6 linked regions of the Ovis aries genome follow. The protein of the gene in region 6 purifies or fractionates together with the protein of the main gene of each other region. This does not show direct contact. Links are inferred from orthologs where the notes say so. Each region holds a gene or a part of one and is shown on either strand. Other genes may lie near its edges. The genes, in order: WDR82, SETD1A, SETD1B, BOD1, BOD1L1 and CXXC1.

What was found.
Region 1: the proteins of CXXC1 (region 6) and WDR82 purify together in Homo sapiens (affinity purification with western blotting; 7 studies listed by BioGRID and IntAct, with this or other methods). This does not show direct contact. The link is inferred for Ovis aries from reciprocal best matches to the Homo sapiens genes CXXC1 and WDR82.
Region 2: the proteins of CXXC1 (region 6) and SETD1A purify together in Homo sapiens (affinity purification with western blotting; 16 studies listed by BioGRID and IntAct, counting the BioPlex papers as one, with this or other methods). This does not show direct contact. The link is inferred for Ovis aries from reciprocal best matches to the Homo sapiens genes CXXC1 and SETD1A.
Region 3: the proteins of CXXC1 (region 6) and SETD1B purify together in Homo sapiens (affinity purification with mass spectrometry; 11 studies listed by BioGRID and IntAct, counting the BioPlex papers as one, with this or other methods). This does not show direct contact. The link is inferred for Ovis aries from reciprocal best matches to the Homo sapiens genes CXXC1 and SETD1B.
Region 4: the proteins of CXXC1 (region 6) and BOD1 purify together in Homo sapiens (affinity purification with mass spectrometry; 4 studies listed by BioGRID and IntAct, counting the BioPlex papers as one, with this or other methods). This does not show direct contact. The link is inferred for Ovis aries from reciprocal best matches to the Homo sapiens genes CXXC1 and BOD1.
Region 5: the proteins of CXXC1 (region 6) and BOD1L1 purify together in Homo sapiens (affinity purification with mass spectrometry; 5 studies listed by BioGRID and IntAct, counting the BioPlex papers as one, with this or other methods). This does not show direct contact. The link is inferred for Ovis aries from reciprocal best matches to the Homo sapiens genes CXXC1 and BOD1L1.

The regions. Positions count from the first base shown.
Region 1 is NC_056072.1:48,700,823-48,705,104, reverse strand, and holds the start of WDR82 (WD repeat-containing protein 82), read right to left. Parts: upstream 2,801-4,282; 5' UTR 2,509-2,800; coding exon 2,348-2,508; intron 1-2,347. UniProt on the Homo sapiens protein: Regulatory component of the SET1/COMPASS complex implicated in the tethering of this complex to transcriptional start sites of active genes.
Region 2 is NC_056077.1:27,608,646-27,612,820, reverse strand, and holds the start of SETD1A (histone-lysine N-methyltransferase SETD1A), read right to left. Parts: upstream 2,801-4,175; 5' UTR 2,166-2,800; exon of another isoform or gene 1,958-2,165; intron 1,900-1,957; exon of another isoform or gene 1,710-1,899; intron 1,376-1,709; 5' UTR 1,361-1,375; coding exon 1,211-1,360; intron 1,009-1,210; coding exon 913-1,008; intron 1-912. UniProt on the Homo sapiens protein: Histone methyltransferase that catalyzes methyl group transfer from S-adenosyl-L-methionine to the epsilon-amino group of 'Lys-4' of histone H3 (H3K4) via a non-processive mechanism.
Region 3 is NC_056070.1:53,527,458-53,531,405, forward strand, and holds the start of SETD1B (histone-lysine N-methyltransferase SETD1B), read right to left. Parts: upstream 2,801-3,948; 5' UTR 2,561-2,800; intron 2,421-2,560; exon of another isoform or gene 2,181-2,420; intron 2,069-2,180; 5' UTR 2,055-2,068; coding exon 1,881-2,054; intron 1,643-1,880; coding exon 1,544-1,642; intron 894-1,543; coding exon 623-893; intron 1-622. UniProt on the Homo sapiens protein: Histone methyltransferase that catalyzes methyl group transfer from S-adenosyl-L-methionine to the epsilon-amino group of 'Lys-4' of histone H3 (H3K4) via a non-processive mechanism.
Region 4 is NC_056069.1:5,498,082-5,502,197, forward strand, and holds the start of BOD1 (biorientation of chromosomes in cell division protein 1), read right to left. Parts: upstream 2,801-4,116; 5' UTR 2,595-2,800; coding exon 2,358-2,594; intron 1-2,357. UniProt on the Homo sapiens protein: Required for proper chromosome biorientation through the detection or correction of syntelic attachments in mitotic spindles.
Region 5 is NC_056059.1:109,481,492-109,484,991, forward strand, and holds part of BOD1L1 (biorientation of chromosomes in cell division protein 1-like 1), read right to left. Parts: intron 796-3,500; coding exon 671-795; intron 1-670. UniProt on the Homo sapiens protein: Component of the fork protection machinery required to protect stalled/damaged replication forks from uncontrolled DNA2-dependent resection.
Region 6 is NC_056076.1:50,262,677-50,266,624, forward strand, and holds the start of CXXC1 (CXXC-type zinc finger protein 1), read right to left. Parts: upstream 2,801-3,948; 5' UTR 2,702-2,800; coding exon 2,699-2,701; intron 1,882-2,698; coding exon 1,763-1,881; intron 1,661-1,762; coding exon 1,560-1,660; intron 1,303-1,559; coding exon 1,067-1,302; intron 978-1,066; coding exon 771-977; intron 385-770; coding exon 358-384; intron 282-357; coding exon 36-281; intron 1-35. UniProt on the Homo sapiens protein: Transcriptional activator that exhibits a unique DNA binding specificity for CpG unmethylated motifs with a preference for CpGG.

The sequences.
Region 1 (4,282 bases), on a different chromosome or scaffold from region 6:
TCCATTATAAAGAAAGTGTCAATGAACAGTAAACAGAGAAAATATTAAGCACAAAGAATTTTGTTTTAGCTATTTTCAAACTCCCAACATTAGTACCATCTAATACAGATACTGCTTTCCAAGGAAATCTTACTTTTCTTCCAATGTTGGTTTGACCTACACTAGTGGCAAATTTTTTTCTTCATGTTATCACTTAGGATCATGGACTCCTTGAGGCTAGAGAAGAGATCTGACCAATGTCACATACCGAGTCACAAAGCCAAACTAGAACCCAGTCTATCAGATCACTCTCTTATCACAGATCACGGTGAAACAAGGTCACAATTCACATGAGAATCTTTTAAAGAATGTGCTATATACTACTGTGTCAATATTACATCTCTAATTTGGATAACTGTAATCTGGTTACATAAGAAAAAGTCCTTGTGCTTAGGATATCCATGTTGAAGTGTTTAGGATAAAGGGGCTTGATACCTCTATATTACTATCTAATGGTTCAGGGAAAAAAATGCATATATATATATATATACACACACACACCTGTATATACATACACACACACACATATATATACATATACATATGTAAATATAAACATTTACATAGAAATGACAAAACAGAGCAAAACATAACTAATTATTGGATCCTGGGAGTTCTTGTAAACAATGGTGTAACTTTTCTGCCAAGTTTGTAATTATGTAAAAATGCTACATGAATGAATGAACTGAATTATGTCATAAAATTAATATTTTACTTATAACAAGAAGGACTTCCAGTTAATGTCATTTCTACTAAGGGGTGGAAATTATGCCATATTTGGAGACAAACTTTGAAGAAATGCTTCCATGATTTTCATTTTCTTTGAATGAAGATACACACCTCCATCCTCAAGTTCCAGGAAGAGGTTCTAATCTGTGCACAAGCACTAAGCATTTCAAGCAAATCAGCTTAAAAATTTCTTCCAGCTCCAGGACCCCACAACCTCTATCTCCACCCTAGCTTTATACATGACTCTAATCCACGTTAATGCAAGTGGCCAGACTTGGACAGAAATGAATAACATTGACTCACATCACCACTCAGCATTGGTCCAGCTAACAATTCTCTTCCCCCAGGACCACCACTATAGGCCACTCTTCCACATACTGCAGGCAGATCCAAAGCCAGTTACATAATACTTTTTCACAGTCCAAACAGGAAAAAATTGGGGAGAACAATAGAGTTCAGACCATTACCTCAAATGACCAAATTCAGAAATGAAGAGACAAGTTCTGAAAGAAAGTTTATAGAAGACATCAGTTTAAACAAAACGGACAAAAGGAACAGCTGGAGAAGGTAAAGAAAAATCCAAGGATTCAAAAAGGAGCTCACAATTTAGCAGGGACATGAAGAAAGCAAGTCTGGGGCAGAGCTGAGGAAAAAGGGATAAAAGGGGGGAACTGGCAAAATGCTGTGCTTTTAAGATTCTGCAGAGATACAGATGTGTTGGGTCTCCAGAGGACTTGGGACAACCTAGAAATGTCATGATCAGACTTAGAACTGTGGTTAAGTCCTAATCGACTGTAAGGTGTAATTTTAAAAAACAAGCCTAAGAAGAAACACGAAATTGTTACATGATATTTTCTTTGTTCTATTAGGAGGTTCACATTCAGGTCGGGATGGGACGGCCAGGTTCGTCCGTGTCTGGCAAAAAGGAAAAGTTTCAGATGCTGTTAAAAAGTTAACTATAAACGTAGGAACCGGGACTGAGGGAGGAAGAGAATGATTTGCAACAGAAAGGAAAAGACAAGGGGCCCAAAGAGGCACAACAAATCAATCCTGACAGGTAACAACTGCAACCCACGCGGCCTTCCGGCAAAAACACGGCGGGAAGCTGAGGGGCAGGGGACCGGCGATGGGCCAGGACTGAATCGAGGTCACCGAGCAGAGGGCAGAGGGAGCTGCCTCTGCTGAATGAGGCAGCCGAGCAGCCTCCGCGGTTCTGCAAGGGGGCCACAGCCGACGGGCACCGAGGACGAAGCCCGCCTAACGGAAAAGCTACCAGCTGGGGCCGCGGTGGGCGGACCCGGCGTTTAAAGGTCAAGGTCAAGGTGGGGTTTGGCCAGAGATGCAAAAACGGTCTAAAAGGAGACCGAAGGAAGACAAGACTATTGTTATCGCCATCGTTATTAAGAAAAAAACGGTCTCCCAGACGGCTTCGGAGGGGACGCGGCCCTGGCAGGACCGTGTGCAAAACAGGCCGCGGGGCCGGGCCCGGGCAGAGAGCGGGCCGCGGGGCGAGCGCAGGGCCACGACGCGGAGGGCGGGCGGGACTCAGACCCGGGCCCAAGGCCACCGCCGCACTCACTTGCCCTCCTGGCAGTCATAGAGCACGATGGAGTCGTCGTCGCTGCTGGAGATGACCGTCTCGCCGTTGGGGCTGAAGTCGAAGCAGTTGATCTTGTCAGAGTTTTCGCGGAACACCTTGGCGACGCGGAAGCTTCGCAGCACGCTGTCGGTCAGCTTCATGGCGGCGGCTGCCTGAGGCGGCGGCGGCGGCGGCGCAGGGCCAGGGCGGGGCCCGGGGAACGGGCGGGCTGCCGAGGGGCCGACCGGGGCGGGGCGGGCGCCGCGCCGGCGGCGGGCGGGAGAGCGGCCGGCAGTCGGGACGCCTCCTCCTCTTTCTCCTCCTGCTTAAGCAACACTCTTCTGCCCGGACTGTGGGGCCTTGCCGACCGTTCAGCCTCACGGTCGCCTCAGGGCCAACCGGCGCGACGCCGGCTCATTGTGTCCGCCATCTTGGGACGACAGGCAGAAGCCCAGGGCGAGGAACCTCACCGCGGAGCCAGCCGGGAAAAGGGGCGGGGCGGTAACGGCGGCGCGAGGCGAGGAGGCGGGGCGGTGACGTCAGCGCTGCCGGCAGGGAGTGGCGTGGCTGGGTGGCCCCAAGAGGCAATTCCCAGACCTGCTGCGGGGGCGGGAGGGGAAGGGACTCCCACGTCCTTACCCCTTGGATTCCAAGGCCCCGCGTGACCCGGAGCCTCAGGCCTGTGTGCGGGCTCGCCACCGCTAAGAGACTCAGGCGCCCCCTGCAGGAACCCCGGCCGCAGGCCCAGGGACAGCAGGTACTGCGGAGGTGGGCTACGCCCCAGGAGGCCTGTTCTGGGTGTGAGTCAACGCTGGTGGCTTTTGACCGTTGGTCCGCAACAGACAGAGCCAGATTTCAATTTCTGTATTTTTTTTATTAAGGTGTACTATACGTTAGATGGAGAAGGCAGTGGCACCCCGCTCCAGTACTCTTGCCTGGAAAATCCCATGGATGGAGGAACCTGGTAGGCTGCAGTCCATGCCAAGGGTCGGACACGACTGAGCGACTTCCCTTTGAGTTTTCACTTTCATGCACTGAAGAAGGAAATGGCAACCCACTCCAGTGTTCTGCCTGGAGAATCCCAGGGACGGGGGAGCCTGGTGGGCTGCCGTCTATGAGGTCGCACAGAGTCAGACACGACTGAAGTGACTTAGCAGCAGCCTACATTAGATTGCATAAATTTTAAGTGGATGAATTTTCTTTTCATTTGGTTGTACCTTCTTGTGACTACCACCCACAACTTTTCTTTAAGCCTTCTTTGAAAGCGTTGTAGGGCTTCCCTGGTGGCTCAGTAGTAAAGAATCTGTCTACTAGTGCAGGAGACACAGGTTCGATCCCTAGTTTGGGAGGATGTCACATGCTGCAGAGTGGCCTATGCTCTAGAGCCTGGGAACCATAGCTATTGAGGCCAACTCCTTGGAAGGAAAGTTATGACCAACCTAGATAGCATATTCAAAAGCAGAGACATTACTTTGCCAACAAAGGTCCGTCTAGTCAAGGCTATGGTTTTTCCAGTGGTCATGTATGGATATGAAAGTTGGACTGTGAAGAAAGCTGAGCGCCGAAGAATTGATGCTTTTGAACTGTGGTGTTAGAGAAGACTCTTGAGAGTCCCTTGGACTGCAAGGAGATCCAACCAGTCCATTCTGAAGGAGATCAGTCCTGGGTGTTCTTTGGAAGGAATGATGCTAAAGCTGAAACTCCAGTACTTTGGCCACCTCATGCAAAGAGTTGACTCATTGGAAAAAACTCTGATGCTGGGAGGGATTGGGGGCAGGAGGAGAAGGGGACGACAGAGGATGAGATGGCTGGATGGCGTCACCGACTCGATGGATAAGAGTTTGAGTGAACTCCGGGAGTTGGTGATGGACAGGGAGGCCTGGCATGCTACAATTCATGGGGTCGCAAAGAGTCGGACACAACTGGGAGACTGAA
Region 2 (4,175 bases), on a different chromosome or scaffold from region 6:
CAGAAACAGAAAAATTAATGTAAAAAAAAAAGAGAGATGTGTTTAGAAAAAGAGTCAGCACAACTTGGTGACAGATTAAGGACAGAAGAATCATAGGATGACACCCAGGTTTCTAGCTTGTGCAGCTGAGTACGTGGTGTTGCCATTCATCAGCAAAAGGAAAATGGAAAGAAAAGCAGGACAAAGGGGGTGAAGATAATTGTTTTACATCTCCTGAGGTTGAGATTTCTGTGGGGCCTCCAGATGGAGCTGTCCCTCCACCAGGCAAATAAGTCTGGAGTTTCAAGAGATCTGGACGCCATCAACACTTCAGTAATAGTCAAAGTTGTGGATGGGAAAGACATTGTCCAGGAAAAGTATACAATGTGAAAGAGGGAAGCGGGAACCCCACAAGTGACTTATTAAAAAGGAAGAATAGAGTTCACAAAGGAGATTAAGAACCACCAGTTTTCTAGACCCAGTGTTCCAAGGACTGATGAGTATCCCGCCTGGACAGAGACATGGGAATCCTCTGAGGAAAAATCACAGAGTAAGAGAGAGGAATAGAGGACTCCAGGGATGAAGTCCCTGGCACTGTCACTCCCCTTAACTGAGAAATTGGGGTAGCACACAGGGTACTATTTTGCTATGCACAGTCTAGAAGTACACAGTGATAGGTGTAGCAGATGGACCTGTCTTCACCCTTCAAAAAGTTAACACCCTTTTTGAAACACCTAACATATACCTCTCCAGAAAATAAACACACCTCCTGTCCACAACAACTCAGTCTCAGCCTCAGAGATTATTAGATCTGTTTTAGACTCTTTCACTAGGAAAACCCCCTTTCCCTATGCTACATTAAGACTAGACTACCAGGATGGAGCCTCCACACCCTCCAAGGGCCACCACACCAGGAGACTAGCAGAAACGTACCTTAAACTTAGGGACTGGGAGGGAAAAGTCTCTGTTTTTGGACCTGACGTGGCAACGGGGGTCTTGGAGGTCTTCCACTGGTATATACTTTGAGTCCTAGGAAAATAATCAGGAACAGAGAGACAGCTCAAGGTGAAACCACAGTGTTGATCTCTAGAGCCCCTCTGGAGATCCACGAGCAGAAGAGCTGGGTTCTGGCTGCCCACTTTAAAGAAGGCAGGTTCTAGGTTATGAGCAGAGGTAACAGAGGAGATCAGGTTTGAGTTCCCTAGATCTGGGGAAGGCCTGGGACACTCACGTTGACACTAAAGTGGATTCCATCGTATCTGTACACCTTTTGAGAAGGCCTGCGTAGGGCAGGGTCCAAGGCAGGATCCACGATGAGCTTGTAGTTCCGCCACTGGAAGCTCGGGGCCTTCTGCCCATCTCCCCCACCTTCCTGATCCATCTTTGCTCATTTACACTGCGAGGAAAGAGGGATGAGCAAAGGGGTTCACGACTTAGGCCCAACTCCCTTGCTGCCCCTCACTGACTAGCCCCGACTCCAGGTAACTCTCATCACCTCAGTTTCCATACCTCACTCACCATGACCCGAGACTCCCCCAGATTTTCTCCCAAGTACCTTCTTTCACCATAACACCCCATCCTCTCTCCACCTCCCAACTCTCCCCTCTGGCCCCCAGGCCCATCTCGCGCCCCCTTACCTTCCCGTTCTCCCTAGCGCGCGCCCCACTTGGCCTCGGCGCAAGACCCCTCCCCCGCCCCCTGGCAGGCCCCGCCCCCTCCCGCCTCCTCACCGGCCAGCGGCCCAGGCCAAGCCCGGCTCCCGCTCCCACACACCGCTCCCGTCCCCGCGCCCCGATCCTCTGGCCAAGAAGTGGCACCTCTTCGGGGCGTTGGAAACACCGCGAGACCGAGCCCGAGACCCGGCTTCGGCCCTGAATCCGGGCGGGGGGTGGGGGAAACGCGCGCCGCTGCCCTCTCCTCCCGCCCCGGCGCGTTCTGCCCCCCCATCTCCGCGCACGCGCGGCGCGGCCCCACTCACCCGCTCGCGGCGAGCGGCTCCCCCTCCCCCCACCCCGCGCGGCACCTCAGCGGCGCGAGGCGGCGGCGGCGGCGGCGGCGACAGCGCGAGACCCGGCCCCGCAGCGGTGGCGGCGGCGGCGCCCCCCCACCACCACCTCCCCGGCGCGCGCACCAAACACCACCGCCACCTGCGCGAGGCCCAGCGGGCACAGCTTCTATATTCGCACTTTCGCCACGGGCGACTCCGGGAGACCCACGGGGCCGAGGATAGCGGCTTCGCCTCGGTCGGCGGCCTATGAAGCTCAAGAGTTGCGGCCCATTGAGCCTGGAGTTTGGCCGCATCCCCCGGAGAATGGACTTCACCGCGACTATCCAGCTGCTCTGGCCTGGGACCCTTGACGAATCGGCGGCGTTGAAAGCAGCGACTAATCCCAGAGGAAAAGGGGGCGGAGCGAAGGGGAGGAGGCCAGCCAGAGCTGGGGAGATTTGAGTGGCGCGTTGAACAGGCGCAGATTCGTCAGGCGGGCGGGGCGAATCGGTAGACGAGATGCGCGCTCCTTTTCTCCTCTTTCCTGCCCCTTCCTTAAGCGATCAAAGGTCTGAAAGGCTGCAGATTCGCCACGAGTCTTGGCCTCAGCTGTTGCCTCCCTTCACCAGGCTTGGTGGAGTCAAGAAAATAATGCCTGGTTAGCCAAGCCCTGTTGGCAGAGTCGGCCACTTTTCCTGGATCTTTCTTACTAGCACAACTCAGAGGACTGCTCAGTTCCGACCTGGGGGAAATGGTTACGGAGTCCGATGAGAATTTTCAGCCGAGTATGGAGGGGCCCGAGAAATTCGGAGGAGGAGCCGGCCTAGCGAATCTGCGAATTATTTAGTGGGTGGAGCCAAGGCTCCGCGCACAGAGGGCGTGGTCAGCGTGCGGAGCCCGGCGTCTTCGGGGCGCTTCCTGTAGGACCCTCGGAAACCCGGGCGGGCTGGGAGGGGCGCCCAGGAGATGGAAAAATACCACCAACAACGGTGACTCAGGCTGTTTGGCGCCTCACGTAATGCAAGGAAAGTTTTCCTCCCATTATCCTCTTTGGGCAGTTTTTTAAGATGCCCATTTGACAGATGGGGGACACTGAGGCCCTCAGAGGGTGCCCCACTTTGCCTGTACTGACCCGCCATTAGTGATTAAATCTTAGTCTGTATCAAAGTTATGCGATAAGGGTGGGTCCTAAAGGATCTTGAACCGGTCCTGTAAAAAACGATAAATTAGGTAGTACGTGAACTAGGGTGGGCTGGTCGATTTCCCAGATTATCATGGTCCCAGTGCCCGCCGTTTTCAGTAACCGTTTTGTGCCGTTTTGTGCAACCCTCTGCCCCGCCTGCCTTACTCAGTCCCGCCGCTCGAGGGCAGCACCAGCCCAGGCTTAAACCTGAGACTTGGGCTGAGGTCGCCCTGATGCTCAGCACCCTTTTTCTTAGTAAGCTTAGACGCAGGTATCTTGGTCTCAGGGTAATGGCACTGCCAGGCACTGTCAGAGCTGAGGGGATGCCCTAAGTTCCAGACTTTTTGATGTATGACCTTGGGCAAGTCACTAACTTCAAAAAGCTTTAGATTCTTCCTCGGAAAATAGATGTTAATTACTGTTATGCAGAACTATTGTAGGCATTAAAACTGCAGGAAAGGCCCCTGAGGCCTGGTTCATGTAAATTCACACTTTTAAGGAACAGGAAAAGCGATTTGTCCAAAATCTCAACACCAAAAGAACCCTTCTGGGAGAGGCTTAGGACCCTTAACAAATTTAAGGAAAATGAGGCTGAAGAAATAAATTTACAATGGAAACAGGGATAATGAAATCAGATTCTTTCTCTGGTCCTAGTTGAAAGATACTCCTTTTCTCAAGCGAAAGATTCCCCTTGTGATAGTAAAGGTGGTTCAAGTTTTCCCTGACTGGGTGTGTGGCTTTCGGAAAGATCCTCAACCTTCTTAGGTTGAGGCTTCCTTATCTCTGAAATAGTAGTCATAAAGACTTGTCTCTTGAGGTGATTGTTAAATCAGTTAAATAAGCTAAATAAGGTGACCTATGAGAAGCCCCTAGTATGTAGTAGTTACTCAAGAAAGAAACTTACACTAAAAGAAACTTAATGTTGTTCAGTTGCTAAGTCTTGTCCAACTCTGCAACCCCATGGACTCCAGCATGCCATGCTTCCCTCTCCTTCACTATCTCCTGGAGTTTGCTCAAATTCATATC
Region 3 (3,948 bases), on a different chromosome or scaffold from region 6:
GAGAGAGGAGGGAAGACACAGTGTCAACCCTTGAACACCCAGAGCAGCCCGCCCAGCTCTATCGGGAACATTATCAATGAAACCACACTCCGGGCCCAGATTGGTTCCCACTTCCAGGGGGAGGGGGCGGCAAGAGGGGGAGGGGCACTCCCCAACCCCTTAGGAGGACTTTTTTAGTGGAGAGACGTACTCTTTGCACATTTAAAGGCGGCCTCGTGGCTCTCCTCAGCGCCGCCCCCCCCCCCATAAACAAACCCTGTCTCCTCTCCTAACAGACAGCAACACTGGGGACTGCCTAAACCCAGGCCACCAGGGCTCCGAGAGGGGCCCACGGGGGTGTCAGCAGTAGGGAAGCCTCCAGGTGGTCCCTAGGGGTGCAGTGGCCAAGGACCGGCACATTTGGTAAATTACAGTTCCGTCTCCTAGCAACAGACAACACATTTAGCTCCACGTGACTCTACCCTCAAGAGGGGGGCAAAAGAAAAATAAGGTTTTAGGGGGGTACCCAAGGAAAACTGAGGGGCTCCCCAACATGCAAGACGGTCCCTGGGAGAGAAGGCAGTCACACTGACAGGTCTTGGGGCTCCTCGGCGGTGGCTGTCCTGAGCGGGCCTCCACTCACCTTTGGTGTCCAGCTCCACGTGGATGATATTACCCATGACCGAAGTGCTATGCAAGTGCTGAACGGCCTCCTTGGCTCCCCTGACCGTGGCAAAGACCACTTTGGCAATGCCCAAGTGCTTCTTGGTCTTGGGGTTGTACAAAATCTCCACCTCCTCCACCTCCCCATACTTCTTGCACATGTCCCTTAGGAAGTTTTCACGGATGTTATCATTCAGCTTGGCAAATGTCACCTGCTTCGGAGGCACCGGGCCCACATAGAACTCATCGATCTGGCAGGGGACGAGGGGGAAGGGAGTTTGGAGAACATTGAAACCGAAGGGAAAACAGAACATTTCCCACTCGCCCGCTCTTTGAAAACAATGAAGGGCAAAAAAATTTTTTAAAAAATTGGTGGGGGGGTGCGGGGGGAAAAAGCACGCGGGCGGGCCCGGGAAGCGGAGGATTAAATCGTTTGGAACGTGGAAGTTCTCTGGGTTCGAAAGGAAAGGGGAAAAAGAAACAGTTTCTCTTTCCCCACACCCCCCCCCCCAACTCTGGCCTCCTCTCCCTGCTGCCTGGGCAGGGACGACCCCTCCGGCTAGGAAGCTGTCCCCCTAAAGCCACAAAGCCGGGAAGGGGGGCGGGTCCCAGGGCCGAGCTCCTGGGCTGGCAGGAGCCAGGTGGGTACTCGGAGCCCCCAGCTGGGCGGGCAGGACACTGTATCAGCTCCTTGATTACAGTTTCACCGAGTGTTATTCTGTTTACAGTAGCCGAGAGGGGACATCCCCTCTCTCTGCAACCTCCCCCTCCCCGCCAAAAGTTCCCTAGCCCCTGGACGGCGGGAACTCAGAATCCGGCTGGGCTTGGTCAGGACTGGCGTTATTTTCGAACTCGGGGAGTAGGGGGGGAGGGGCGCGGGATACAGGGGAGGAGGTCCTACCTTGAATTTGGGGACCGACAGCTCCAGCTCCTTGTTTTTTGTCCAGATGCCGACCACCCGGGGATCTTCGACAATTTCCACCGGGCGGTTGCTGGACATCTGTGGAGAAGAAAGGGGGGCGGAGTGGGTGGGCTGGTCTCACTCCCCAGGGTCAGGGACAGGAACCCCCCTTCTCCAGGCACTTGTCAAACTCCAGGACTGGGGACCTGGCTGACAGTTGGCCGGATGGTCAGGAAGGGGGGGTTCCCCAGGCCGCTCGGACCACTCAGCCCCCACCCTCTTCGGCATGGCTTGCGGGGTGCGGGGGGGCCGACAGGGAGGCGCGCCGGCTACTCACCGCAAGGCTGAAATGCTGCCCATCGTAGCGGTACAGTTTATGATGCCCCTTTTTCAAAGCCGGGTCAATCATCAACTTGTAACTTCTCCAATGGTGGTTCCTCCTCTCGCCCGAAGGGCCGGGCTGCGGCGGGGGCTGCTGGTGGTGGTGGTGGGGGGGGTGACTGTTCTCCATGCCGTTAACCCAACCTGAAAACGAGCAAGTTGTTGTCGTCTCCGCCGCGGCGGCGGCGGCGGCGGCCGCTTCTACACACACGCTAAAGAATCACATCGTCCAGCCCCCCACCCCCTCCCACCTTACCAGCGCGCCCTAAAAGGAGCTGGCTCCCCCCAAAAATAAGAATGGAGCGAGAGAATAACCCTTCCGGAGAATTAGGCGCCCGCCCGCTCGGCCACCGTCTCGGAGCGGCTGCGAGGGGCTCCCGGGGGCCCCTGGTGCGGACTGGCGGGGCCCGGGGCACCCGGAGGACGCGGGCTCCGGCCCATGGTGCCCGCCCGGCCGCCCGGCCGCCCGGCGTGGCGCTAGCTCGCTCGCTCGCTCGGCCCGGCTCGGGCGCGGGGCTCGCGGCAGGCCTGGCGCCGCCCGCCCGCTCGCTCGGTCGGCCGGAGCGGGGGCCGGGGCTGGGGGCTCGGGACGCTCGGCTGCCGGCCGCGGCCTCTCCCTCCCCGAGCCGCGCTTACATCCCCGCCGGGCGCCGGCCTCCCTGCGCCGCCAGCCAGTACATGGTGTCCCCCGCGGGAGCCGAGGCCGGAGCGGCCGGACGGGGGGCCGGGAGGGGGGAGCGCCGCCGCCGCCGCGGCTGCCGGGCCCGGAGCTGCTGCCGCCGCCGCCGCTGCTGCTGCTGCTGCTGCTGCTGCCCGGGAGGCGGCTGGCGGCGGAGGCTCGGCTCCCAGTAGCCGCACATCCCACAATACACCGCTAAGGAGCCCGACCCGAGCGCTCACCCTCCTCCTCTTCCTCCTCCTCCTCCTCTTCCTCCTCCCCTCTCCTTCCTCGCCGCTTCCCCAGGCACTCTCCCGGCGGCGGCAGCTGCGCCGCCAAAGCCCCGGGCCCCAGCGGCCCCCCACCCCTCACTCGCGCGCTCCCACACTGCCTCCCCCCTCCCCAGGGGAAGGCCTTTTAATTTATTTATTCTGCTGGGACTTAGGTTGGGGGCTTGGCGGCGGGGGAGGGGGGGGTCTCCCCGGGCTCTACCTCCCGCGGCTGGGGCTACCCTCCGAGCCGCGGCCGCCGCGGCTTGCGCCTCGGGCCTCCAAAACTGTTTCCAAACTGCCAAGACCGGAGGTGGGCGCGTGGGGGCCCAAGGGAAAGGGCTGGTTTTGGGGTGTGTGTATGATTGTGTGTTTAGACGCCTGGAGCCGTGAGGGGCGGCAAGGCGGCCCCCAGACGAGTTGCAATCGAGGTATCTCGGCTACGGCTTCCTCTTCTGCCCCGCGACCCCCTCCCCCCGGAGCTGAGTTGGGGAGGGGAAACCAGGATTTTAACCAAATTAGCATTTACATTCCTGGGAGGAAGCAGCCCTGGCCTGGACCTGGGTGATAGAAGCTTCTTTCTGTTTTTATTTTTGGAGAGGAGTGCCCTTGTAATTGTCGTGAACACATGCTTCTCCCTCCGCACCCCCCTCCTTTCCTCCAGCCACCGGCGGAGGAACGATTCCCCCTTTTTTGCATTTATCTTTCCTTCCCCTTTCTTTATTAAAGGTCCGGGAGTGGCGGCGGCCAATCAGCGCGCGGCTTCCATTTTGTGAGTTCAACTCCGAGGCTCTCGGGCTTCGCGAGGACGCGTTTGCAGCCCCCTCTGCCTCTCCTGTCTGGCGGCCGAGGAGAGGGAGCCGCCTCGCTGGGGTTTCGTGGTAGTGTATTTCATATTGGGGCTCTTTTCGGGGTTTGTAATTTGGCCGTGGGTAGGTAATTGGCTGGAGCAGGGCGGCCGGGCGCGGCAGCCAATCAGCGCGCGGCTTCTATAGGGCTTGAGTTATTAGACGCTGATCTCAAAACATCCTTCATCAGACACCAAGGAGAGGCCAACAGATGAGGGGAGCCATTTTTCTGCAATGGAATTAAATGGC
Region 4 (4,116 bases), on a different chromosome or scaffold from region 6:
CACAGCTTGGACCTAAGCCCAGGTTGCCTATAGCTGAGCCACCAAGTCTATCCAGACCAGCTGAACTTTAGCTGACTTGCAGTCCCATCAGCATGCAAACAAATGCTTATTATAAGCCACGAAGATTTGGTTTACTATACAGCGTTACTCTAGAAAAAGTCTGTTAACAGTCAGGTGCATGACACTGACAAAGGAATCAAGAGGCCTCAGTTCTGTGAGCCGGCTCTTCCCAAAGGCCAAGACTCACAAACAAAGACTCTCCACCAAACCCGAAAAGAGAAAGGCAGGGAGGCGGATGAGGACCACAATTCACAGCTCCCCATGTACTATCCACCTAGCGAGTCCTTCTTCCTGGTAATTGCCTTCCCTTTCTCACAAGGATAGGGCAGTGGGCGCCACATTCTCCTGGCCACAGGGGTGGCTTCCTGAACCACGTTTAGACGATGCGTGTGTTTTCTGGGATTTTTTTTTTTTCCTTTAACTGGAGCCATTTTGAGAGGAAGAAGCTGTAAGATGTAACCGAATGGATGACTCTGCTCTGCAGTGACATGGGTTAGATAGCCCTGGTGGAGAATTCTTGGTTCCAAATGCAGCCCTACCCTTCTGGCAGTTTTTTAAATTTTACCCTTCCTTAGATTCCCACAAGTCAATAGATTTGCTCACAGGAGTTAGATTTGTCACTCCTAACCATCAATCCTGACGCTGTCTCTTTTACTATTCAAAATGATTCACCCAGTTTTAGGTAGGACTGGTTACTGAAAAGGACAAAGGACAGCTAACGTCACCAACCAAACTCTAACCTTAACAGACCCTGACAATATAGCAAAACCCCTTCGGTTCATGAAGTGAAAGATCTACAGTGCCTGTCACTAACGCTTTATTACACTATCACTTTCCCTTAACCTATCAATCTATTCTATTTATTTATATTTTGGATGCATTGCAAAGTAAATTACAAACATCAGCAGTACACATTCCGTTCCACACATCTGCAGTCTGGGGTGGAGCCTAACAATATGCAAATCTAACAAGTTCTTAGGTGATGCTGATGATCCAAGGACCACGCTGTGAGAACGGTGGGACTAAAGCAACAAAGGATGTGCCTGGAGACACACTACCTCAAGAGCTAAAGCAACCTGGTGACAACCAGAAAGAACATCTAAGGGGGTGTTAAGTGGTGAAGGCTCTGATTCCCTCTACCCCAACAGATTCTCAATACCGACTAAAACAAATGTATACCGCATGGGTTAAGCCACATAAAACCTAGTGAGACATAAGAAAACATAGTGGAGAACTTGCGATGGGAAGCTGAGAGCACCCAGGACTGGAAAATGTGAAAGTTCTGTCAATACATACGTTAAAAAAGAAAAATTAAGTAATTCATTCCAAGGAGAGAACTGCTCCATGCGTTTTTTAATCTTGGAGAATAACAGTATACTTACTATACATATTGTCTGGTCTACACTTCAGTTTTCTACACCAGAATACACACTTTGAGGACAGGATAGTGACATGCTTGACCCTGTGTCCAGAAACCTCACCAATAAATGTTTAATGGATAACCTATCTTTAAGGCCTAGTTTTAAGCTCACAATCTTCCTGTGAGGTAGGCAAAAGATTTCCATGTTGGGCTCAGAGAGGAGAAATCACTTCCCAAGCGGAGCCCATTCAGTAAGAGAGCCTCCTATATCTACAACCACAGTCTTGTGAGAGAAACTTCTGAAAAAGGAGTAAAAAAAAAAAAAACATTTCAGCGACTACTCTTTGACACTTAACACCAGTGACTTCACTGAACACAAATGAATCTAGGCAAGGTCAAGTGAAACAGTATTAGCCGGTTGACCTGTGGCATTAGGATCTAACAGAATCTTTCAGCCAGTGATGAAATACAAAATAAGGGTGCCGGTTCTACGAAAATGTACCTTAATTAACTGCATACTCAAGCCTGCAAATCACTGAGCTAGAGAAAAGGAAGAAAGGCTGATGTTTGTGCATTCATACCATTCCTGCTTACTTACCCGGTTTTCTCCGGTGTTCTTAACATACTGAGATTTGTTACTGTTGTGCTTAAAGGAGTCTCATCTTGGGAAATACAGGGTCGAGGCTGTAAAACCGGTACTGGGTCCCCAAGTTTAGAGTGCCGTTGGGCTAAGCCGCACAGAGCAAGGATGGGGCGGGGAGCCGAACCCACGTGGACATCCCTCAGAAAGCTTCCTATACTGCCCCAAGCGGTCTCCTCGCTGCTGAGATTTGAAAAGCACCTTTTGTTTTTCTCTCGTATTTGGAAATGCGAAGCTGCAGCCCTAGCAGCCTCACGCCCAGCCTGCCCTCCATGAGCCCAAGCCGCCTCCGCTGACCTTGGTGTCCACGTCGGCCAGGCAGTCCCGGCGGAAGCTGTCAAATAGACCCCGGCTCTTGAGTTGCTCCACGATGAGCGCGATGAGCTGCGGGTCGCCCGGGGGCAGTGAGGCCGGGTTGATGGGGCCGCCGCCCCCGCCGGCCCCGCCGCCGCCCGCCGCCGCCCCCGCCGAGGCCGGGCCCGCGCCGCCGCCGCCCACCGCGCCGGTGCCCCCTCCGCCCCCGCCGTCAGCCATGGCTGCGCGCCGGGCCCGCCAAGGGGCCCGAGTAAGGCTTCCTCTCAAGAACAGAGGGCCTAGGTCGTGGAGAGGTGGCGGAGGGGCCTGAAAAGGAGAAGGCGGCGGCGGCGGCGGGGACGCAGGAGGAAGGCGCGGCGCCGGCCTCCCCAGCGGCCGCAGCAGTCTCTCAGGTAGCCGAGCTGCTGCCGGAGGCGGCGGAAACCGCCCGCCGCGTCCCGGACGCTCTACGGATGACGTCACCGCCGATCTTTGCATTGTGGGGCGGGAGGTCTTCCGGCAGGCAGCTCCCGCTCTCTTATAAGCAGAGGTCTGGCGGATGGAAACTACATCTCCCGGCAGGCTCCGGGCTCGCGTCTCCAGTTGCGGGAAAGAATGGGACTTGTAGGCGTAGGCCCTAGTTATTGCTGCAGCGTGGGCTGGCCTTCCTCGCCCTCACCCGGTACTGCCCCCTTGCTCTAAATCTGCTCATTCCCAGAGTACCTGATTATAAGAATCGTCTGCTAGGCTTGATTGAATGCATAGATTAACAGGTTTGTCCCTTAGAGCTTCTGATTCAGTATTTCGAGGTCGTGGCCTCGGAATCCGTGATTTTAATGTATATTCCCACGCCCTTGAGCAACAAATATCATCTGGGAAATGTGGTAAGCAGTGGACTAGTCACATTTCTTTTATTCAAACATTGTGGGTTTTATTTCCCCTTCTGATTTTAGTAGAAATACATACTTATTTTAGAAAATTGAAAAATAACAGAAAATTTTGCTGTAAAAAAGTTCCCTGATTTTGTGTGTGTGTGTGTGTGTGTGTGTGTGTGTGTGTGTATTTCTTTCCGGATAGTTTTTTTTTTTTTTGTCTTGCTTGGTCTGACTCTTTGCAACACCCAGGGACTGTGGCTTGCCAGACTCCTCTCTCCATGGAATTTTCCAGGCAAGAGTACTGGAGTGGGTTGCTATTTCCTTCTCCAGGGGATCTTTGCCACTCAGGGAACAGAACTCTCATTTCCTGTGTCCCCTGCTTTGGCAGGTGGATTCTTGACTACTGAGCCACCTGGGAAGCCTATAATAATAATAAATGAATGTTGAGTAATTGGAATATTACAGGCATGATACCAAGTACTTTACATACACTACCTCACAATCTAAAGAGCAGTTATTATCACTATTTTGCAGATCCAAAAATGGAGGCACAGAGTTTGTTACCCTGATCACCTAGCTAAAGGTGGAAGAGGAGGGGCTGAAGTCAGGTCTCCTAAATCCAAATCTTGGCCACGTTTAATCTAAGGTGTACTACATTTTATGAGCTGCTGCTGCTGCTGCTGCTGCTAAGTCGCTTCAGTCGTGTCCAACTCTGTGCGACCCCATAGACGGCAGCCCACTAGGCTCCTCTGTCCCTGGGATTCTCCAGGCAAGAATACTGGAGTGGGTTGCCATTTCCTTCTCCAATGCATGAAAGAAAAAAGTGAAAGTGAATTCACTCAGTCCTGTCCGACTCTTAGCGACCCCATGGACTGCAGCCCACCAGG
Region 5 (3,500 bases), on a different chromosome or scaffold from region 6:
TTTCTGGTTATATCATCACTGAAACCCACAGGCAAAATCACAGGAAAATTAAAAACAAAAACAAAACAAACACAAACCAGGAAAGTCCCTGGTGGTCCAGGGGTTAGGACTCAGCGCTTTCACTGCTAGAGCCAGGTTCAATCGCTGACAGGGTAACTAAGATCTTACAAGCCACACTCAGCCAGGAAAAAGAAAAAGAAAAAAAAGCAAGCAGTTGTATTAGAACATAGAAGACACTGTCTCAAATCAGGAGAAAATGTTTCAATTTCAGTCATCTTTAATGTCTTTATTTGTAAACCAGGAATAATAAAGCCTACTCTTTCAGGACCAAAAAAGTAACTGTAAATGTAACTGTATAGGACACCCTGACCAACCTGGCATTTGCCATCCATTCACATCAGATCTAGAGGGCTTTTTCTGAAGTCACATAGTCACTCCTTCACTATTTCCAAAGGTCTATAGGAACAATCAGACTGTCAAATTTATGAGGGAAATGTGAAGCGATTTAGAGTCCACTCTAAAATTACACTGTTTCATTGTATGAAGCAGCCACACAAGACCTGACAAAATTATCACAAGGTGAACAAACTTCTGCAAATGTCTCTGCTTTCAGGCAAGGCACACTGACATTCTCAAGCCTTCCTCGGAACTCTGCAGTTCTGAGACTTACTTGAGCACTTGCTGGCGAATGTTGTTTCTAAGCTGGTTCTTGTTGAGGTGGGGACTCCATGTATGAGTTGCTAAGTGGTTTGCAACAAAGTTGTCAACACGCTGTCTCAGATTCTGATAGGCAGGCTAGAGAGAAAGAAAAAGATATCAATGTTGAAAACCTCACTGTTACACAATATCAACACTAATATCCATAGTCTCAGGAATCTGAGTATCTTTAGCAGTGTTAACATTTCTCGCGGCATCAATGTGGCAACAAAGTTTCATAGTTTGACGACCTTGTATTATCCTTCTGCTTCAGGATAATACAAGACATTCAAAGACCACTGATCTAAAACAAAATGTTTACAGATGAATGCAGAGACAGATATAGCTAATTACAGACAAGAGACTAGAAGATGAGATACCAAGAAGTGTTACTGTTAGATGATTTGGAGTGAAGAAATGGAGAACAGCAGACAGGAAGTGAGCCTTCATTGAGAATAGGGCACCCCAGTTAGACCTTCAAAGTTTCACAACACAGCTGGGACAAGGAAAGGTGGGCTGCACAGGTACAGCGAGCAATGTAAGAGCAGGTGGATGAGAAAACACGGAGTCAGGAGAGTTAGGGAGCCCCCAAACCATCAAATGCAATTTTGTTGGAGGAGAGAAAACAAAAACAGACAAATGAGATTGGAAACATAACCTGGAACCAGGGTTTAGAAGAACTTGGGGACTCATATATGAAGCCTGGAATTATGCGAGAGAGAATGGGAACCCACAGCACATATGAGCAGCATGATATGTGATAGTTGACCTGATATTCCTACGGCGAGAGAGTAAATAGACTCAAGATATTTGCAGGAAAGCAGGCAATAACTAGAAGAATGAAAATCTGTACTGGAGTGGCAAAAATGGGCTGAAAGGCATGGATCCAAGAGAAACTGAGAAGGGACAATCGCTGGAACCAGGTGTTATTAGATATAAGGCACTGGTTCCTAACTGGAAGCAATTTTGCCTCCCCCCACCCCACCCCTACCCAGGTGACCGCTGGCAATGCCTGGAGACATCTCTGATTGTCATTGCTGAGGGGAGTTGCCAGTGGCATCCTACCACGCACAGGACAGTCCCCCCCAACAAAGGCCTATCCAGCCCAAGATGTCAGCTGTGCTAAAGCTGAGCACTACTGATACTTAAGAAGCAGGAGAGAGGACCCACGCTAACAGGCCATTTCTATGCTGCCTGGAAGGACTGTCTGACTGCACGCTTCCTTCCTACAAGCTGTCCCCACCACGTGTGCTCTTTACATCTTTTATGTGACTTTTAATGTAGATAAGTCGGAGTATTCCCGAATGATTTTAAGCAAAACTGTACAACTCTGATTCTGCTGTTTGCTCCCTAACCCCTCAAAGTTTACTCTTCAGTCACAAGTTCCCATGATTTCAATCGTGTACACCTACCACTCCTTTTCCCTGTCCATCTGGCAAATTCCTTGCCTTCAGGGCTCACCTAACCCGTAAAGCCGTCCTGACTCCCAAGGTAGACTTCCACGGCCCTTCGCCCATGCACCGACACGCTCATTCAAGTAATTCTTGTGTTGTACTGTATTTTAGGGAGGGGGGCATATTTATCTCCTTACTGAAGTGTAAGCCTTCTCTCACTCTTTTAGTCTTTGTCTTCACACTGCTAGGCAGATAAGCAAGTAAAAAACAGTTATCAGATGAGATGACTGGGTAACCATCTAGGTAATGGAGATGAGAAAGATTTTATCCCTCTGTGACACCCCTTTACCCCTTCCAATTACCAGAATTTTGCTAATACCTATGTTCTATCCTTTATATTCTATCCTCTATTCTATACCTATATTTAGCTGGGAACAATTAAAGGCAAAGGAGAAGGGGGTGGCAGAGGATGAGATGGTTAGATAGCATCACCGACTCAATGGACATGAATTTGAGCAAACTCTGGGAGATAGCGGAGGACAGGGAAGCCTGGCGAGCTGTAATCCAAGGGGTCGCAAAGAGTTGGACACAACTTAAGTGACTGAACAACAAATATTCCATCTGACCAAAACTAGTCTCATGATCATTTCTCATGTTCCTCTCCATTTATCCAAAATTCATATAAACAAAACTAATTTTCTCCCCAATGATTCTAAAACACAATTATTCTTCCCAATATTCCCAAACCTCAGAAACATTAGGCTCAAATGTCACAGTGTATTTAGCACTCTACTTGCTTATAAAACAACCTTCAACTTCAACTATAAAAGTTAAATTTCTTGGTTTCTAAGTTCTCGTTTAGGTAAAAAAGCCTAGTGACTGCGATAATATTTTGGGCTCCATTACTCTTCTGGGGAGAGCTATCTCCTTTTTCCAGTCCAGTTCAGTTCAGTTCAGTCGCTCAGTCGTGTCCGACTCTTTGCGACCCCATGAACTGCAGCTCGCCAGGCCTCCCTGTCCATCACCAACTCCCAGAGTTCACTCAAACTCACGTCCATCGAGTCGGTGATGCCATCCAGCCGTCTCATCCTCTGTCATCCCCTTTTCCTCCTGCCCCCAATCCCTCCCAGCATCAGAGTCTTTTCCAATAAGCTCCTGGCCAAAAGCCTTCACATCGTCAAGACTCCTTCTCTTCCACCCCTCACCCGAAACAGCAGCAAATCCCGCCGGCATTAGCCTCAGAATACAGCCAGAACCTGAGCACCTCCCATCCCCTCCACTGCTATCACCCCTGTCCAGAGCATCCTCTTTTCCTGCCCAGATTACAGCTGTACACTGGCCTGCATCTAGTCTACCCTTGCTGTCTGAAGTCTGTTTTCCACAGTGCAGCTCGTGCCGATCTTCTAAAGT
Region 6 (3,948 bases):
TGACCCTTCCACCATGGGACGCTCTGCCTGCTCACCAGGCTGTGGTCATCGAAGGCCCCTGCACAGAAGTCCTGGTACAGTTCAGAGTCCAGTGGGAGGTCCTCATCCGAGAGTGGCTCGGGTGTTGCCGTAGCCTCCGGTGGCTCCTTGACTGCCGCAGATACCACTGCCCCCTCATCCTCTCGGAGGCGCCCCAGCTTCTGCGACGGCTGTGGCTGCGGCTGGGTGGGCAGGGGCCGGCGAGGCCTTGGCAGGGACTCTGAGGGCGTCACCGGCGAGAGCTGCGGGGCAGAATCTCAGGACTGGCCCTGACCGCCCGGCCCGCATGCCCCGCCCGCCCTGGGGGGCTGGACTCACCGAGGAAGGGAAGTACTTGTACGATTCCTGTGCCGGCAGGAGGAAGGCCCAGGTCAGCCCCAGGTGGAGGGAGGGGGGCCCTGCCCTCGCCCTGCCAAGTGCCTGACCCCACCCACCAGCCTTGCCTCACCTCCCCAGACACACCAGCCTGCCCACAGCTCATCAGCAGGACACATTCAGCCCTGTCCCAGCCAGGCCCGACCACCTAGAAATGCCTGGCCCTACCCTGTCCACCTGGAGCTGGAGGTTCCCCTGCCAGCCCGGCACATCTGGTCACACCCCGCTCATTTCGACAGGACAGGCCGCTCGCCACCTGTCTGAATGCGGTTAGATCCCACCCCGCCTAGCTTCCGGCGGCTCTTCCTGGACAGCTGGACCCCCACCTGACCTCGCCCAGCTCTGCCCATGCTCACCCGGGCCCGAAGCTGGCACTGACGCAGCCGGCACTTCTGCCGGATCTTGTTGGGGCCCCCAAACTTCTTCATGTCTCGGCAGAAGTCACAGTGACCACAGTCCTCCGTGCGCCGGCAGGCCTCGCACTCGCCACACATGCGGGCTGATCGTTTGACCTGCTGCTGCTGCTGTTGCTGCTGCTGCTGCTGCTGCTGCTGCTGGTGATGCTGACGGAGGGGCCCAGAACAGAACTCAGGGACCAAGCAGGGCCTCCCAGGGGAGCCCCTCACTAATCCCAGCCATCACTGCCACTCACCTGGCTGGGCGTGGCCACCAGGGGCTGTGGAGAGGATTTGTGGGGCGAAGCAGATCCCCGAGCAAGCATGGTCCCAACCCCTGTCCCTGCCCCTGCCCTGCGCTGCAGGTCCGGATCCGGGGCAGGCCTCTTGCGCCCTCCACCCTCATCCCGGGGCTCACTGCCGTCTCGCTCGGAGCTGTCTCGCTCCCGCGACTTCTTATGCCGATATCGGATCTCCAGCTTGGGGTCCTTCTCTGTGGGGCAGAGGGCAAGGCCAGTGGGGGTTGTTATGGGGGGGCCTGGAGGGGCCCCAGAACTCTTTCTTCCTCCTCTGGCCCACCCACAGGCTCTGTCTCCCTACTCCAGGGCAGAGCTGCCCCTTCTATCACAGCTCACAGGGCACCAACCCGCAGTCACTCCGCCCACAGCCGCCCATCCACTGCTCCCCATGACCCACCCTCCCATGAAGTCTCCTCTTCCTCCCTCGAAGCCCCAGCTGCCTGCCCCTCACCTCGGCACTCACGACAGTACCACTCCCGGATGGCCTTGGCCATCTTCTCAGTGATCCGGATGCAGTCCCCGTGAAACCATTCATTGCAGTTGTCACACCCGCTGTGGAGCACGGGGCGAGTGATAGGAGATGTGAGGGGCGGGACCCACCGGCCTCACCCCACCTAGCCAGGTGTCCGTCCCGCCCGCCTCTCCTGGGCTCACATCATGAAGCAGTTGATGTCTGGTTTGCGGCAGATGCAGTAGATGGGCGCATTCTCCCCGTTCTCGGACTTGCTGTCCTCCCCGGCGTCTGGAGGCTCTGGATCTGAAGCGTCGCCCTCCTGTGGGACCCGCCCCCCATCATGGCACCTCATCCGACTAGTACAGCCCCATCACGGCTCACCACACATCTCAGGTCTCCCAGTGCAGACTTCCCACCATGGCTCCTCATTAAATCTCTCCGTCGTGGTCCCCATAGACCACTCCCCATCGCTCACCCGTGACACCTCCGTTATCGGCTTATTCACTGTCTCAGACTTTCCAATCACTTACCCCACTGACACCCCATCACTAGGCACCCACTCACATAATGGCTCGCTGCAAACACCCCGCCACTCGCCACATTTTGCCCCCGTCATGGCTCTGCATGGACCCCCCATCACAGGCTCTCATAGGTACCACTTTATTCATTCGGCAGACTTCCCACCACGGTGCCCTTCAGGTTCTGGAGTGATCGACTTCACGGGCGGCCCCGCCCCCCTGGTTCCCTGATACGGACTCATCACGGCTCCCTCCAGACTGCCCCAACACAACTCTTCGAAAACCTCCCCACCACTCTGCACAAAGAATCCCCCATCGGGACCCTGAAGGCACTGCCATCAGGGATCCCCGCTAAACTTCCATTACAGACCCCCATGATGGCTCATCAGAGAACTCCCCGATGGTTCCCCCACGAGCAAAAATTCGGACCATCAGACCCCCGTCATTCCACCCAGGGACCCGGGTTAAGGCTCACAACAGACCCTCCCCCTCCCCCATTCTGCCCACAGTCCCTGGTTATGGATCACCACAGACCCCCACGAGCCTGCCAATGGACTCCACCATTTCCTACCTCACTGACCTCTAACCGCCGACTCCCTCCTGGGACCGCGCACTTACCATCTCTTGGCTCCCGACGCACCCGTTCGCGAACCCCGCCAGTGACCCGCGAACCTGCACAGACCACTCGGCGGCGTCCGCGGCCGTTGCAAAGGCGCCCACAAGCACTTCCGCTTTTCCTGGTGCCTCCCAGGCACCATACTCCTACTGCGCAGGCCCAGTGCGTCGGTTCCGCGACACGCAAGTTGGTGTCTCCCGGCTAGAGCTCTGACTGTCTCCAAGGTGCCTCCATCTTGACTACAGACACCGTACGGCCGCCGAGCTCGTGTGCTCTCAAGTGTTCTCGGGAAACAGGGCGGCGCCTATAGTTCAGCTTTACCAAAGGCGCCGCCATCTTGTTGGCTGGGCTAGTCCGTACAGTCACTACCTGTACGGCCGCTAAGTTTAGGCAATATGGTCGCGCCTACTGCGCGACTTCCATGCTGACGCCGCCATTTTGGAATCGTACGCTCAGTAGCAGCGTCCTAATCGGCCACCGAGAGGGCGCCGCCATCTTGCCGGTGGATTCTGGCGCCGGTAGCTGGTATTGCCTAGATGTCTGTAGGGACGGGGATCCTCTTTTAGTGTTCCTAAAATAGTAGCTAAGTGTTCCTAAGATAGTAGCTCTTTCCACTCTTCAGTCGTTTTTCCGCGTCTACTAATGGACGTCCGTATACTGTGTGCCTTATGCTGGGAAGGAAAGCAGCCCCTTCGTTATGCGTCCCACATTACCTCTGACAGGTAATTTTTGCCTATTAGGGGCAGGGGAAGCCCAGTCAGGCTTATATCTCATTTGGCCTAAACGTTATGTAAAACTGGAACAGCCTGATTTATGATCTGTCAAGTACACGCTGTGGAGAAGGCAATGGCACCCCACTCCAGTACTCTTGCCTGGAAAATGCCATGGGCGGAGGACCCTGGTAGGCTGTAGTCCATGGGGTCGCTGAGGGTCGGACACGATTGAGCGACTTCAATTTCACTTTTCACTTTCATGCAGTGGAGAAGGAAATGGCAACCCACTCCAGTGTTCTTGCCTGGAGAATCCCAGGGACCGGGGAGCCTGGTGGGCTGCCGTCCATGGGGTCGCACAGAGTCGGACACGACTGAAGCGACTTAGCAGTAGCAGCAAGTACACGTTGTACATTTGTGCTAACCACTGTGATTAAAGAATGCCCACTTTCCGATAGGGAGAAACGCCTCCCTTTTGTGGTTAAGCAAACCTGCTTTCTCCAGTAATTATTAACTTACAGGAGTTTCCCATATTTTTCTAC